2 linked regions of the Lepisosteus oculatus genome follow. The protein of the gene in region 1 purifies or fractionates together with the protein of each later gene. This does not show direct contact. Links are inferred from orthologs where the notes say so. Each region holds a gene or a part of one and is shown in the gene's direction. Other genes may lie near its edges.

Evidence for each region.
Region 2: the proteins of smarca4a (region 1) and bicra purify together in Homo sapiens (affinity purification with mass spectrometry; 4 studies listed by BioGRID and IntAct, with this or other methods). This does not show direct contact. The link is inferred for Lepisosteus oculatus from reciprocal best matches to the Homo sapiens genes SMARCA4 and BICRA.

Annotation. Positions count from the first base shown.
Region 1 is NC_090706.1:16,566,013-16,573,336, reverse strand, and holds the start of smarca4a (transcription activator BRG1), read left to right. Parts: upstream 1-4,269; 5' UTR 4,270-4,504; intron 4,505-7,324. UniProt on the Homo sapiens protein: ATPase involved in transcriptional activation and repression of select genes by chromatin remodeling (alteration of DNA-nucleosome topology).
Region 2 is NC_090698.1:6,319,122-6,326,420, forward strand, and holds the start of bicra (BRD4-interacting chromatin-remodeling complex-associated protein), read left to right. Parts: upstream 1-4,279; 5' UTR 4,280-4,299; coding exon 4,300-4,360; intron 4,361-5,015; coding exon of another isoform or gene 5,016-5,252; exon of another isoform or gene 5,253-5,346; intron 5,347-7,299. Other genes in the region: znf541 (zinc finger protein 541), read right to left, coding at 5,016-5,252. UniProt on the Homo sapiens protein: Component of SWI/SNF chromatin remodeling subcomplex GBAF that carries out key enzymatic activities, changing chromatin structure by altering DNA-histone contacts within a nucleosome in an ATP-dependent manner.

The DNA of each region.
Region 1 (7,324 bases):
CGTTAACACTAGCAGGAAATGTTAAATGACTTCCTCAGTTGTACAGTCTAGAAGATGGGAGTCTAGATTTTGTTTTGCATCTTTTGGTGGTGTTTTTTTATTTATTTTATTTCTTCAAAACAAATTGTTCCGGGGATATGCTGGACAGGTGCAGACGGCTGAGTTGGAAATGGGAACAACCTGTTCTGAAAGAAGGGCAGTTGTTCCCGAGTTGGGTTAGCGCTGAGCCCTGGGTATGCAAATCTAGCCGGCTTTCTTTTTTTAAAGACGTTTTTACAATCGGACAAAGTTCTTTCGTTTAGTATGTGATTATATTTATAAAACGGCAAAGGAGTTTTTAGTGATTGAAGATTGTCTTCTCGAAGTGCTCCCCCTCTTGGAAGATGAATTCTGCATTGCACAGCTCTGTTTAACACTGATGCTTGAAAAGGTTCTGCACACGCCCTTTGTGAGTAAAACCGAGTAACTCGTAGGCTCACGTTAGCAAAGTGACCTTTAGGCTTATAGTAATAGGGCAAAAGATCTCAACAGTCACTGCTCCTCTCTGTGTGCTGTGAACAGAGGCCTTACCTGAAATTCATCTGCAAGCCAAAGTATCGAAGTGTGTTATCTAAGCAGAGAGTGGAGGATGCTGTTAAACTTGTCATCTTTTCAGGAAGTCGGTTCTTTCCTGCATGGTAAGCGCAGATAATGGGGCAAATTAGCCATGGGGTTAAGCATTCCTCTCTTGAGGTAGAAAACAGGCCCACCTGTGTCGGCAAGGCCCCAGTCCAGAAGACTCTCTAATCTTTCCCAAATCCTCAGAGCCACTAAAGCCTGTTGCTGTGGGTCTTCAGCTGGTCCTGTCCTGGAGGACAGGCACATTTTAGATCTTATATCCTTCTTTAGAGAGCTGGCTCTTTAAGGGCTGCTGAAAGGTACTGCACTGCTGTAATTCAGTTGGCTCAAGAACTGAGTGGGAAAACATTCAGACCTATCGAATTGGAATGGGGGACCCCAAACTGAATGGTGTGGCAGATTGTGGCCTTTTAAGGATCCTAGTGCTGACTCCTGGCTCGTACAGCTGTAACACATGTTCCTCTGGCTTCTGCATTGTGGGATTATGCCCTGATCGGATACCCATGTTGAATATGTCGAGTCTAGGAAGAACATCCTACCTCTCGGGCCAAACGAAACTGCCATCGCAAATACAGCCTGATGTTTATATTTGCAGGTCGTGTTCGGACTTCTGTCCAGTCAAGCACCTTCCATGTGAATCTGGCCACACAGATCTTCCCCACTGGGTTTTCATCACAAATTGCACTCGGGTAATTTTGTTTCTGTGCTGGATAGTGGCCTGATTCACCACGTTGAAGTGCTGAATTACACTTCAGTCAACAGAGCAGTACAGCAGTAGTCCCTCCTCTCTGCAGGCACTGTCCCCCTCTGGGTCAGTTTCGCCCGCCGCCGCCCACGTCTGGATTTCAGCGGTCGTCTTTGTCTAGTAGCCTGCGCTTTCAGGTTTACACCAGCAAGTTGAGCAGCATGTTCAGATCCGTCCCTCTCCCAGTCAGTGTTTGTACTGTTTCCATCATGGCCGGAAGTGCTGCGTGTTCTGCTTTGATGGGTGCCAACGGAGAGCTTTGTGATTTCTTTCTACATCCCTAGCTCTTTGACACCTTCTCCTTGATCCCCCGCCCTTCTGGTTTTAAGAGTTAAATCAGTTTTTATCGGCATCTTTCTGACTGGTCTTGGCACACAAACTTGAGGGGGTGGGTGGTTAAGTCGCCCCGTCTTCATAGCTACACAGTCTGGGCTGGCTCTGTCAGGCATTGTCTGTGTAGTGTGGAGTTGAGGCCTTTCTAATATACAGCCCTGAACCTTATGTGCGAAGTCAGCATTAGCCTTCCTATGAAAGGTTATTCATCTGACGCGGCCCATCTTTCGGTGGACAGGACGGCTCTGCTCATGCCACTGACTTGAAAGTGACAGTGGATCCAGGCCTAGGTGGTCGTATGCATCAGTGCTTTGCTAGCATGCGCTCTCCTGCCAGGAAAAACCAAAAATCACTACTGCAGGGTTGAAGTACAGGTGCTGAGCTCCCATAGCTTTGCCTTTTCCCGGTCATAGAAAAGCTCTGGTTCGAGTACCATGATGCCTGCAGTTACTATGCACCATTAATTTATTGGGCCTAAAATATTTGGGACAAAGGAGCAACCGAAGGACCATAGCAAATCGGTGCTAATGTAACGCTTGGCCACATCTGTTTGCTTTCTTTTCCTAGCACCCATGTTTCTGGAGTCTATTGATTCTTCCCTCTGCATAGTGGAGAAAGATCTAAGATGTCATTCCAGCCACAAACCCACACAGCAGGCCATGCACAACCCGATCGTCACGCCCGACTTTGTATCGGGAGTATAGTTCTTGATGCGTATCTACTGTGTAAATTATCTGACTCCAGTGTTGGACCCCTGCTGTGTGATGCAGTTTTCTACCTGGGGATTGTACATTTAAAAAAAAAAAAACTTTATATGTACTGTGTATATTTAAACACTTCCGTTTAATTCAATGTTTAAAGTTAGGAACATTTTTTTTTTTCCAAACAAAATCATCAGGTCTAGTTCTCCTTGCATTCAGATTTATTGTACTTAAAAAGATTCTGAAAGCAAACTAATCCTCTTCCTGTGTCTTTCCACGGAAGAGTTTGCACAAAACATGCTGAAAAACAATAAATTGTTTTTTAAAAGAAGAAAGAAATTTACAACGATGTCTGCTTGTTTTAATTGCTTTTTCTTGATTTACCTTTATATTAATGGAAAAAATGAACAACTGTAGGGTGGGTTTCTGTGAATTTTATTGAAAATCTCTCCCCAGTGAGATGTTCATAGGGTGGCTTCAATTAACAGTACAGTATGGAGTGTGATAATAAATTAAAGGTTTAATGATAGAAGCCAATGCAAATACAAGAGCAGTGAGTGTTGCCCATTTCTACTGGTTTGAGATTTCTAGTGTTCAAGCTGGTTCGAGTTACCTGCAGCAAAATGACCTAATTCTGTTCTGGGGGGGATTTATCGGCTGCTTTCTTTCCAAATTGGCGCTGTACAACCTGAATTGTCTTATTTTCTTAATCAGAACAGTTCACCTGCTTCCAGCTCTCTAGAGCTAGGCTCGATGTACTTGGTGGACCCAGTTATTTGAACTGGAGGGGAAAAAGTATGCTGTATATGGGATATGATTTTTCAAATGTATTTTATAAACTATGTGGGATTTGCTGGACTCTGGAGCAAGAGGTGTTCCAGTGTTGTACTGCCTCTCCTCGACTGCTTCTAACGGGCTGGGTAGGGAGAATGGGGGTGAGGGTCAGTAATTGGGCAGCACTGGTCTCCTGGCAGAGGTGCAGTGCCGGAGGAAGACACGCAAGTGGCACTGTGGCACCAGCCTCTGAGAGAGTCCATGGTCCTTGCTAGAATTCCCATAAGGCTTGTCCAGGATGGTGGTCGAGACGTGCTGCCAGGGCCAGAAGACACCTGCTGCTCTGCCCGTCCTCCCTCCCCCAATCAGCGCCGGCGTGCTGAGTGCGTCCAGGCCGTCCCGGAAACGGCTTCACGGGTTCGGGCCTGCGCGCCGTCGCGGAGACAGGCAGCGTCGGCCGCGGGCCGGGTGTCGGGCTCCGCGGTTCCGCCGGGATAAACGTGCCGCCGGTCCCTGAGGAGGGCGAGGTCTTCGACTCCACTCCTGGGCTTCCTGGAGTCTGAGCGCTGGGGCTCCATCCCGCGACCCAGCGGCAGTCTCATCCTCCTTTTCTCGAGAACCTGGTGTCTTCTGGGTTTTTTTCCCAAACTGATTAGTCATTTAAAAAAAAAGATATCTTCTGACCTAAGCGGGATTTTGCTTGACCCTTCATTCTCACTTTTTAACAGATGATAAAACTTAGGGAGAGGAAAAAATAGTTTCCAGGGACCACTTTAAACATGTTGCCAAGGTACCTTTCGGAACATACGAATATAGGAGACCCTGGGGAAATGCACGATTACTGCGTAAAAACGCTTAGCGACCAAACTATTTACGCTCTCTGTGCGATTTCTGAATCTACTCTGGTGCTAGAGTACGGGTGAAAGGAGGTTATTTGGTAAACGACAGTGTACTGCTCTTCAGGTGCAAGACGTGAGCGAGCCGCGTACGCGCACTCGGCGCTGTTTGAGAGTAACCCCATCCCCCACCTCGTCCAACACGTCCGGCTGAGCCGCACCGGCCGGCCTCTTTGCCGCGGCGCATTCCGCCTGCAGTGGTGCCGGCACTGCGCCTGCGCTCGGACAAGCCGGCCGGGTTTTAGAAAAAACAAAACAGAGAGAGAGAGAGTGGAGGAGGGGGGGCGCTAACGCTCAGACTCTATGGTTGGTGTGGCTGGAGAAATACAGTCAGGCGACAGAGAGAGGGAGGGGGGTGCAGCCAGCAGGGAGCTCTTTGTTTCCGCAGAAAGCGAGGGGGAAGACGCGCCGGTGAGACCTGCATTTGCCCTGAGCTGGTAAGCGCCCCTCGATTATTGCTCCGTTGAGTCTCTACGTGGCCTTTTCACGAAAACGGGTCCTATTTTTTGCCTTTTTTCCCCTTCGTTCATTTGTTTGCCGGTCTGGAGCTTTTCCTTCTTTCCTTTTCCTCCTCCTCCTTCCCCTGCGCTCGGCTCGTCAGCTGAAAGATGTTTCTCCTTGGTCCGTGTGCTTGTGAGCCACCGCTCAGCTCGAATGAATGAAATTATTTTATGGGGGAAATACAGACCGGGAAGGGTACGGGAGGCCGGGCGGATCAATACACTTAAAAAATAACGTTTTGCCTTTTTTCGCTGCTGGGATTTCTGAAAACATCAACTTAAAATATATATCCAGCGTAGGCTAAGCGAGAGAAACCAGCATGGCCGGCTGGTAGCTCTTTGTCTCCCGATTTTCACCCTTTGTATCCAGCTGAACGAAATTCCAGTTTTTATTCGAAAAATGAAGAATTTAAATACCCCCTTCTCACACGGCCAAGTTCAGAGAGACATTTTTTTCCTCCATAATAAAAGCGTCTGATAATGATGTATAGGCGTTACTGTGTTTCTTTTTACAATGAGAACAAGCTTTTGTGAGGTAGGTTAATATTGACTTTTTCCGATGCTGAAATAATTTAAATGTATTTATTCTATTACTGTACTCATCGCACCTAAACACGAATAAACGCCTTTTCAAAGCCGCCAGACTCTACTATGGCTGTTTAGACGTTTTTTTTTCCTTTCCTTGTTGATGTTGGTAATGTTGAGACTGCCTGTTTTGTTATTGGACAGACATTTTGTGTTTATTCCAAATTATCATAACGTGTTTAGGATAGAAGATACAGAAGAAATATTTAAATGTATATCTCCCCAATCGGTTATAAGTATCAGGTACGTTTTATCTTTAGGAAATGTCATTTTTATACTTTGAAAATGACTGTATCTGTCCCACCAGTTCAACTCGAGTTTTCAAATTGAAGGATTCTTTAGGATTTGAAGCCTGTGCATCTGAGGGGTTAAAGGCCTCAAAATTAACATTTTACTTAACAAATCAACAACACAGACGTTATTTAAAAGTTGTAATAGCCCCGTCGCACTCTACCTTTCTTGTAAAAGGTTGTAGTCCGGGATGGTGTTTTAATTTTTCCCCATTTTAGCTCTCGGTAAACTTCCCTGTCGCCAATTCTGTCCTGTCTGCAGTCGGTGTATGAACCATTCTTAAAGGTTTACAGCTACCAGGGTGTGTAAAAGTCAAGTGTTTAATTGAGAATTTTCTATCATTTGGAGAGCTTTTGTAAGCTTTTGAGTCCACATAAAACTCTCTAGCAGCGTTAGGTTGTGTAGGTAAATTTGGGATGCTTTTATCAATGAATATTTGGGGGGTCCATTAGAGTTGCAGCCTCCAGCTACACAAAAAAGTGCTTTTGTAGGGGGGGCTGTAGCCATGGGTTCAGGGAACTCTAATCTGGGTTGTCAAAGGAAAATACGTATGTTCTGTTTTCCTTACTTACGCCACAACAGTGGTTTTAAACCAAACTCTTCTTTTCTCGGAGAAAGTGTGCCGGCCCGTTGCGCAAGGTCTTGGGTTCCCTTCTGCTTTTCTGTATTATGCACAACCCCAGTCCTCTCCGTGCCCACCCCTTGTGTTGTTGTGACCTCCATGTGTAAGTGTTTTATTTGCAGAAAATGGAGTTTTCTCCAAGGGCTTGTTGTAAGTGTGTGATGGACTGGTGTCCCACCCAGGGTGAATCGTTCCTTGCGACTGTTGCTTGCAAGGATAGTCTCTGGGTCTCGCTGCAACCTTGGGCTGGATGGATAGTTTTCCCGCTGCCAATCTGAAGAGGACTCAACAGGAAAATGGCAGTGAGACCACCTCATCAGGATGCGTTTGTGCTAAAATGCTGGATCGTCACAGTGTCTTTCACTTTCAAATGATCGTGCCCGTCAAGATCAACAAGATGCGCTGATTTACTGAGTCAAGAGTTGCTCGAGTTGGGTCATTCACATTCTATATCTTTTTGTGAATCGGATTAAGATATCCAGTTCTGTCTCGTAAACAGAAGGGAACTCTGAACGTGTAGCGCTGCTCTCTGCACAAAAGGTGCAGCATATTCACATCTTCACCAGTTTGCAGTTTGACCTGTCGGTCTGATGGAGAGCCCAGACATCTGTTTGTGACTGATGAGTCTGTATCAAAGTTCTAGTATTCAATGCAAGAGTTCTTCTGGAAAAAGGGACCCGACCGTGTCGAGAGGCAGTGACACCCACATATGGAAAACTTTCTGAAAGCTTGTTGTTTGATATTTACTTACAACCACTAAGTCCATATGTGGATATATAGGGGCAGTACTTTGTATCGACGCAGAGCAATATGTGGATTCACAGTGGTAGGGCTTTATCTGCAAGCCCTTCTGGAGTGGGTAGATGATAGCACAGTCTAGACAGACAGCTGTGGCAGGTCCTGTACCTGTTGATGAAGTTGCAGATGTAGTATATAGGCTCTCCTGCGAAAAGCTTTTTCAGTGTTGATTGTTTATGAGAAGGGGTCGGGCAGTATATTAGCTATGTGGATCATGCCAATTCTCTGGAGCCCTGTTCTGTAGTGGAGCACCTTGCACTGACGAGCTTGCTAGGTGTCGGTGTCTGTTTTTCTCGATGAACCAAAATCTAAAGAGCGACAGGCCATGATCGTTCGGGGCCGCTGAGTCTTCTGTGCTTGCTTGGCTCCTCTTGATTCATTTAACAGCAGGGGGAAATTCGTTTCGGTTTTGTGTTGGAGTGCTATTGTTACTTATGCTTTTATCTCTTAAAACGCTGAGT
Region 2 (7,299 bases), on another chromosome or scaffold:
CCAGGTCTGCTGCACTCTGTGATGGACTGAAGCGCTCACTGAATAAAAATAAATGAGTGAATATTACTCGCCGATACTCACAACGCCGCGTAGTTACTGGGGTCAATCGCAATCGCGTTTTCCTGCCCGTTTCCTTCGCTCCCCAGATCAGATTATTTCAGTGCCGGTCGCTACCGCGGGCCCAGAGACCGGGTGGCCGTTTTGAAGTTTTTAAAGAAAATGGCGACCGAATTATTCAAGAAAGTCGAGCGATCAAGCGGCTCGAGCGATCGCGCTTTAGGCGGGAGGGACCGGGGATCGACTTCAAGTACACAGCGCGAGCGTCCCCTTCCCGCCCGCCGACCGACCGACCGCTCGAGCGCTCCTCCTCCGGGGTGCTGCCTCGCGGCCAGACCACGCGCCCGGACCCGAGCGGTGACGCAGTGGCGCCAACCTCGAGGACGGCGAGAGGGCGCGCCGCCATCTTCGCCCCCGCGCGGCTGTTTGGAACTGAGAGTCGCGAGATCCGGAATCCCGCTCTCGGGTCGGGTAAGAACCACGTGGCCTTCCGCGACACGAGTGGCAGTATCTCCCACTCCGGAGGTGGGGGGGGGGGCGTGTGCTCATGGGCTCCACTCGCCTCTCACAGCGCTCAAGGTTCGTTTACCCAGACTTCCGGGAAAAGGGAACTCGCTCGGACGCAGATTTTAAAAACCCTGCTATGAGCGCTGTTCCGTCAACTGGCGCGCCTCCCACTTGCGTGGAAACAAAACTGAGAAGACCCTCTCTGAATGCCCAGGCAGGGCCTGTACGTGACGTGTGACGTGTCACCTCTGCGATAGAAGCCTGGCGAAAAGCAGCGAGTAAACCTGTTTGTGTTGTTGCTTTATACACGACTGTCTTTTTTCTCGGAGTACAATACGGTCAGATACACCCGTGGTGAGCAGGTGACTCCCTCCCGCCGCCCGGCCCCGGGTGCGAACCCAGCCTGCAGCCGTCCCTCCCCCGGTCACTGACGGAGGTCGCCTCCGGACCTCACTGAGCTGCTTCAGCGCCTTGACAGTCTCCCACCTCTGGGTGGGGAGAGAAACACACACTGGTTCGGTTTGGGGAGCTGCAGCAACGAGGTTTTGGGGTCCCCAGGACCGGGCCTGGCACCAATGACCCCTCGGGCTCATTGCTCGCTGGCGTGACCCCTGCCTGACTCCGGTGTTATCATCATGGCCAGCAGCTCCATCACCCTGCAGCTCAGCTGGCAGCCCCCTGGAGCTCAGCAGTGTGAGCATGGTCAGTACCTGGAGGGGAGACTCCTGGGAAAGCTGAGGCTGCTGCTTTAGGGAGGGGAGTCCCCATTACCTGTAAAGCGCTTTGAGTGGAGTGTCCAGAAAAGCACTATATAAGTGTAAGCAATTGTTATTATTATTATTATTAAGAGGTGTTAGTGGGACCAGTAGGGGACGCTCACCCTGCGGTCTGTGTGGATCCTAATGCCCCAGTATAGTAATGGGGACACTATACTGTAAAAAGGTGTCGTCCTTCAGATGAGGCGTAAAACCGAGGTCATGATTCTCTGTGGTCATTAAAAATCCCAGGGTATTTCTCGAAAAGAGTATGGATGTAACCCCGGGGTCCTGGCCAAATTTCCCCCTGGACTTTACCGGTCATGGCCTCCTAATAATCCCCATCTCTGAACTGGCTTCATCACTCTGCTCTCCTCCCACTGAGAGCTGGTGTGTGGGGAGAGTACTGGTGCACTATGGCTGCTGTCGCATCATCCAGGTGGGGGCTGCACACTGGTGGCAATGGTGGCATTCTCCATTACTGTAAAGCGCTCTGAGTGGAGTGTCCAGAACAGCGCCATACAGGTGTGAGGATACTGTTATTATTTTTGTCACGATAGTCACCTGCTGTCTGCACAGCAACACTCCCCATACCTCCGTGGCCTGGAGAGCAACAGAGGACTCTACTCTCCTGCTCCTGGGGTGGCCAGTGTACCTGCAGGATTCCAGTCCAGCTGTGCTCTTAAGCGCCCCAGTCATTTCCTTACTGGCTTAATCAGACCAGTTTGTTAATTTCTCCCTACTCTTCGGATGCTGCTGGTCTAGGGCGCACCGGACCCCTGTCCGTGAACCTAGGCTGCGCCTGTGTCAATACATCACGTCACCGAGACTCCGAAACAGACGCGGAAGCGATCTGTCGCCTTCTTGTGGGAACCTTTTGCAAAAACATCTTGGTGTGTGTGCGTGTTGGAAGAGGGGGCGGCTCGTTCAGAGAACAAAACAGAACAGCTGACTGGAAACACCACTGCACTCATTTTTTACGGTCGTCGCCTTGTGCAGTTTGTACACGGCCTTATGAGTATTTTTTTTTGCTGTTTTTTTTTTCTGCCATCGCCTATTGGGATCCGACACAACTTTTGGAGAAAGAGACGAGACCAGGGTTATGTCCTGGCGAAAACATGTCTCCCGGTCGCCATCGCTGTTCGGCGTCACATCACAATCAGCGAAATAAAAATCGATAATAAAGCGAATCGGAACCGTAGCTCCCCCGGTTATCGCGCTCCTGTCACTAACGCTCTCTGTCTCTCTCTGAAGTAGGACTGATTTTTTTTTCTCTGTATTTCTGTCCCAAAGTAAACCCGTCTGTAGCCCCACCTTAAAGCGTAAACACAAGCCTTAACTCTGATTCAAATCCAGCCAATCAGGAACTATAAACAACAGCCGGGGCCACGCCTTCTTATTAATGATTTCCCCTCTCTGCCAATCATTCCACGATCCGCCAATCAGCGAGCGGCTAGGCTCCATCCTGCGCCGACCCTTTCTTTGTGATGTTTTTAAGTTTGAGCCAATCAGCAGCGGCGTTTTCTCATTCCTTACAACCCGTTTGGTCATAGGAAGCGCCAGGGCCTCGGCTGGGGCTGTCCCTGTTTACGCCTGACTGAATCGTTTTATTATTTACTTCAGATCCTTCAAAGAAGTCAGTGCTACCCTTCCTCTTTCTTCTGGATGTCATGTTTATTTTATATGTAGTTCTGCAGCATTTCTTACATAAACTCATCTGTCAGAATTGAAGATTTGATGATTTACTAAAATCTTGATTTTTGGTAACCCAGAATTTAATAACTCAGTGTGTGTCTTTTCATATTTGAGATTTTGTGTGAGCATGTGTGTGATGGCACATCGGTGCCTGAGAAACAGAAAAGACAATCACCAGCTATCTGTAATTCCATCTCTCCAAGATAGACCTAAAACTCCCCCTAAACTCTACAGATGGAATAAAGGGAGCTCTAGGCCCTTGGAAAATTAGATTCTGTGTGACCAGGACTTACAAGAAGAAAGTACAATTTTAAAGAACGTGTCTTTCCTGTTATTCTTTTTTATTTAATGAGCCCTCTTTAAAATGTTATACTTGCCCTGCTAGTTAAGACCTCTCTCCCCGATTTGCACTGCCCGTTCGGTAGCTGTTTCCTGAAGGAAGTCGGGGTATCAGCTTGTTCCACACTCCCGCCCCCCTTTGGGTAAGGCTTGGGCATCACTAGCTGAATGACAGGGTTAGTGGATAAGGACTCGGGACTCCTAACTACAGGGAGAGGGAGGGGGACACTGTCTATGATTAAGACCTAGAACCAGGAGGTGAACTAGAACCGTGTAGTGAAGGGACTGTCCTGCTGGAAGCAGGCTGTGTTCCTTCAGCGTTTTTTATTGGTCTGAGTGTAAACGGCTGGTGCAGAAGTAGACCAGGGTAGAGTCCCCAGCTCCTCACCCTCACTCAGCTCCTAATGATGCTCATCGTGGGCTCCTCCGGACATGTTCACAATAGACAGTGCTGCACACCGAATCAGGCATTGTTCAGTGTTACTGTGCAGCTACAGATGATCAGTCTTTACAGTATCTACAGGTCTGAGGATGATGAGTGTCAATGTGAGGTTACAGATGACCAGACTGAGAGTCTTTACAGTATCTTCAGGTCTGAGGATGATGAGTGTTAATGTGAAATTAGTTATAAAGGGAACAGACATTTGGAAGCTTTTTTTCCTTGACTAGGCTAACCTTTGTGGTTATGCAATACACACTGCCAGAATGAAGTAATTCACATCTCCCATGAAACAAATAATGTCTGATGTGAATCACCTGTTTCACGATTCAGTCAAAATAAGATCGAAAGCAATCAGTCAAAAGGAAATCAAAACAGTTACTACTGAAATGACCTGTGTGCTGTAATCTGCTCGCCACAGACTGGCAGGAGTGCGTCTGATTTTTGGTCAGGCGATCGCGCCGGGCCGCCCTGCCCTGCTCCGTTTGTTGCTCTGCCGGGTCCTGTATGGGAGCCCGTGCGGGGCTGTGCCGGAGACCCCGCGCTGCCTGCACCTCTATCGTCTCGGGTGAGTTTGTTACAATGTAGCAATTTCTCTATAAATCTGTATAACTCGAATAAAGCCGCAACATCTGCACACTGCAGGTGGATCGCAAACCCCGCTTTTACTGCCCGCAAAATGCCAAAAAAAACACGCACGGCTGGGCCGGAGGAGCGATTTTACAGCGAAATTCCCAAACATACCCCCCCCTCCCGGTCCAAGTGTATTCCAACATTAACTCAATATTTAGACGCAATTGCGTTTGAGGAATCACTAGATAGAAAGAAAATAACCAAATCATGTCTGCCTGGCACATAATATGTTTCAGGGATTCATCTGAGCAGTGCGTAGCTGCTTGCAATATGTTACTGTCAGATATCTTGTGTGTAAGGCTCGCTTTTCTACACATTTAGACTTCCAGCTCCAGACCTCAGCTCTGCCTGTCTCTCTGTACCTGCACGCAATAGATTCGCATTCGCTCGGCTGCAACGGCACGAGAAAAGGGGGTTGTGTTGAGAAGGAGGGGGAGGTGGGTGGGTGGAAAGAAGACTTTTTTTTTGTGTGTGTGCGAGGTGAACAGCCGCCAGTATCCGTCCGTCCACGGAGGCGAGAAAGAGCCGCCGCTTCGCCTTCGTCTTCCTCCCCGTCTCCCCCGCGCGAAAACAAACCCAAACAAACTTACTCGGGGCCGGCCAGGCGGCGGGAGGAGGAAGTTGGGCTCTCTGGGACGGGCCGTGCGCGTCCGCGGGTCTGTGCCGGAGCCCGGCCGCTGTGCCCCGGGCTCCCTGCGCCCTCCTCCCTCGGGGGGGGTGGTGGTGGTGGGGGCCAGCGAGCTGGCGAAAGCCAGGGCCCCGTCCGCTTCCTCTCTGTCCGAGCGGGGTTGTCCTGGGCTGGTGTGCTGGTGTCCAGCGGCTGTCATGGGGCTGAGCGCTGAGTGTTTTCAGTGAGGGAGGGAGGGCAGTGTGGCTGAGGGCTTCTCTGCTGTCTCCGTCCTCGCCGCTCGGACGTGAAGTTGGTCCTCCCTGCCCGCGGAGTGGATTTAATGGGTTAATGGCTTAATTGGTTTAACTCCATTGGAGCTGTGATTGTGATGAGCTGCCAGTTCGACTGACCTGAGCTCTGCTGTTCTCGGGAAGTTTTGCTAGGTGGCATGTCGACCTGGGAGCCCAGATTCTGGGCTTTGGGGGTGGACTCTAGGACTGTATGGACCGGGGGGGCCGGAGTCTGGGCCGTACAGACTGGGGGGCCGCACTCTGGGGTGTATGGACAGGGACTTTGTATGGTGTCCTCTCCTGGTGTGGGAAGTCTGCAGGATGTCCAGCATATTTCTAGGTGTCCCCCAAGGGCGGTACATACTGTGGGACCACCTGTGTCCTGCGCGTTCGGATCAGGGCCTGGGAGAGCTGGATGGTGGCTCTCCAGGGCTGTGTGTGAAACACTCACGCTTCATGGAGACCAATTACTAACGACTAGTTACTGGGCTAACTGCTGGGGTTGCAGACAGATGCACCACAAGCACTTATTATATCTGCCAGTCGTAAACGAGAGGTGGCCACTGGGTCCAACCAGTTTGTTCGGATCTCATCCAGCTGTTTCTTGAGAGCAGCCAGGGCATCGGCATCATGGCTGGGCAGCTCGCTCCATGCTCCCACCACTCTTTGAGTAAGGAGGGATCTCTTGTTTTCGCTCATAAATGCACTTCTCTGTCATTTCCTGATTGGTCTGCTCGCTTTGCTGTTGGTCCTGAGGTCCCCTTCTTGCTAGGGTATCAGCAACTTTTCAGGATAGTTCCCATCATCCTCCTTCTCTGTGACGGTTAACGGGATGGAGCTCCTTTATTCTCTTTGTGACTTTCCTGTGAGGCTGGGAATTAACGTTGTTTCCCTCCTCTGGACGGAGGTCCGGAGCAAACGTTGCTCTCTCTAACATGGCGACCAAAACCTCAGTCCTGCCCAACACGCTTGAGAAAGTGACCCTACTTCCCTGGACCTGACTCCTGTGCCTCGTGTGCTCAAGTTGCCGGCCTTGTTGAAGAGCTGCAGGAGGACACCAGAGTTGTCACAGACAACACGTCTTCGAGCTCCCCCCCCCCCTGCTGGTATGTCTGACGTACCTTCTTACAAGCTGCAGGTGTGCTAAATAGTGCTCATTTGTCTGAGCTCTCTTCTAAAGTAGCGAAACGCTTGCTCATCCCAGAGCCAGCAGCTGCGCAGAGCTCACATCAATGAGCTCGTTGGGAGGCGGGGGGCTGGCCTCTGCGGGGGCTCTGTGGGGGGTCCTGCCCCTCCGGCGGAGGCGGAGGAGTGGGGCATCGCTCTCCCACTAGGGCAGTTTCGCCAGCAGCGCGTGAAGACCTCGGCAGGTGGGCAGGTGTTTGGGAGGCGAGGGGGTGCCAGTATGGATGCCCATTGTTCTGGCGTGCTTGCTTGGGTTGGGTTGGTTTCTCAGATGCCGTTGCGCGAGGGTGGGTGTTCAGGTCTGTTGAGGAGGGAAGGGATTATCTTCCCTAGGAGGCACAGATGTGTCTTCCAGATGTGGGATCCGCTGTGTTGCTGCTTGATCACATCCTGGACTTCCTGCTGGCAGGGAGCAACAGTGGGAAGCCCGGTTATGGGAAGAGCCCCATTCCCCGTCTCCGTCTCCCTCCAGGTGAATCAGTTTTGTAAGCTCCGTCCGGAAAGGTCCAGGATAGATCCAGCTGGGAAGCTCTTCTCTAGTGTTCAGGTGGTCATCCGGCTGCGGGCCTCGCCGATCCCTCTCCCAAGGATGGATCTCCATTCGGAATAATTGTTTTTCGAGCTCTTCCGGCAGGGATTGTGGTGGGCAGTGTCTCGGGGCGAGTGAGAAGCGGAGCAGCCTTTCACAAGCACCTTCGTACTGGGAGCGCAGGTGTGGCTGCAGCTGGATTCTGTGTCCCTGAGAAAGTCTTAATAATAGTAATAATTAATAATTGCTTACACTTATAT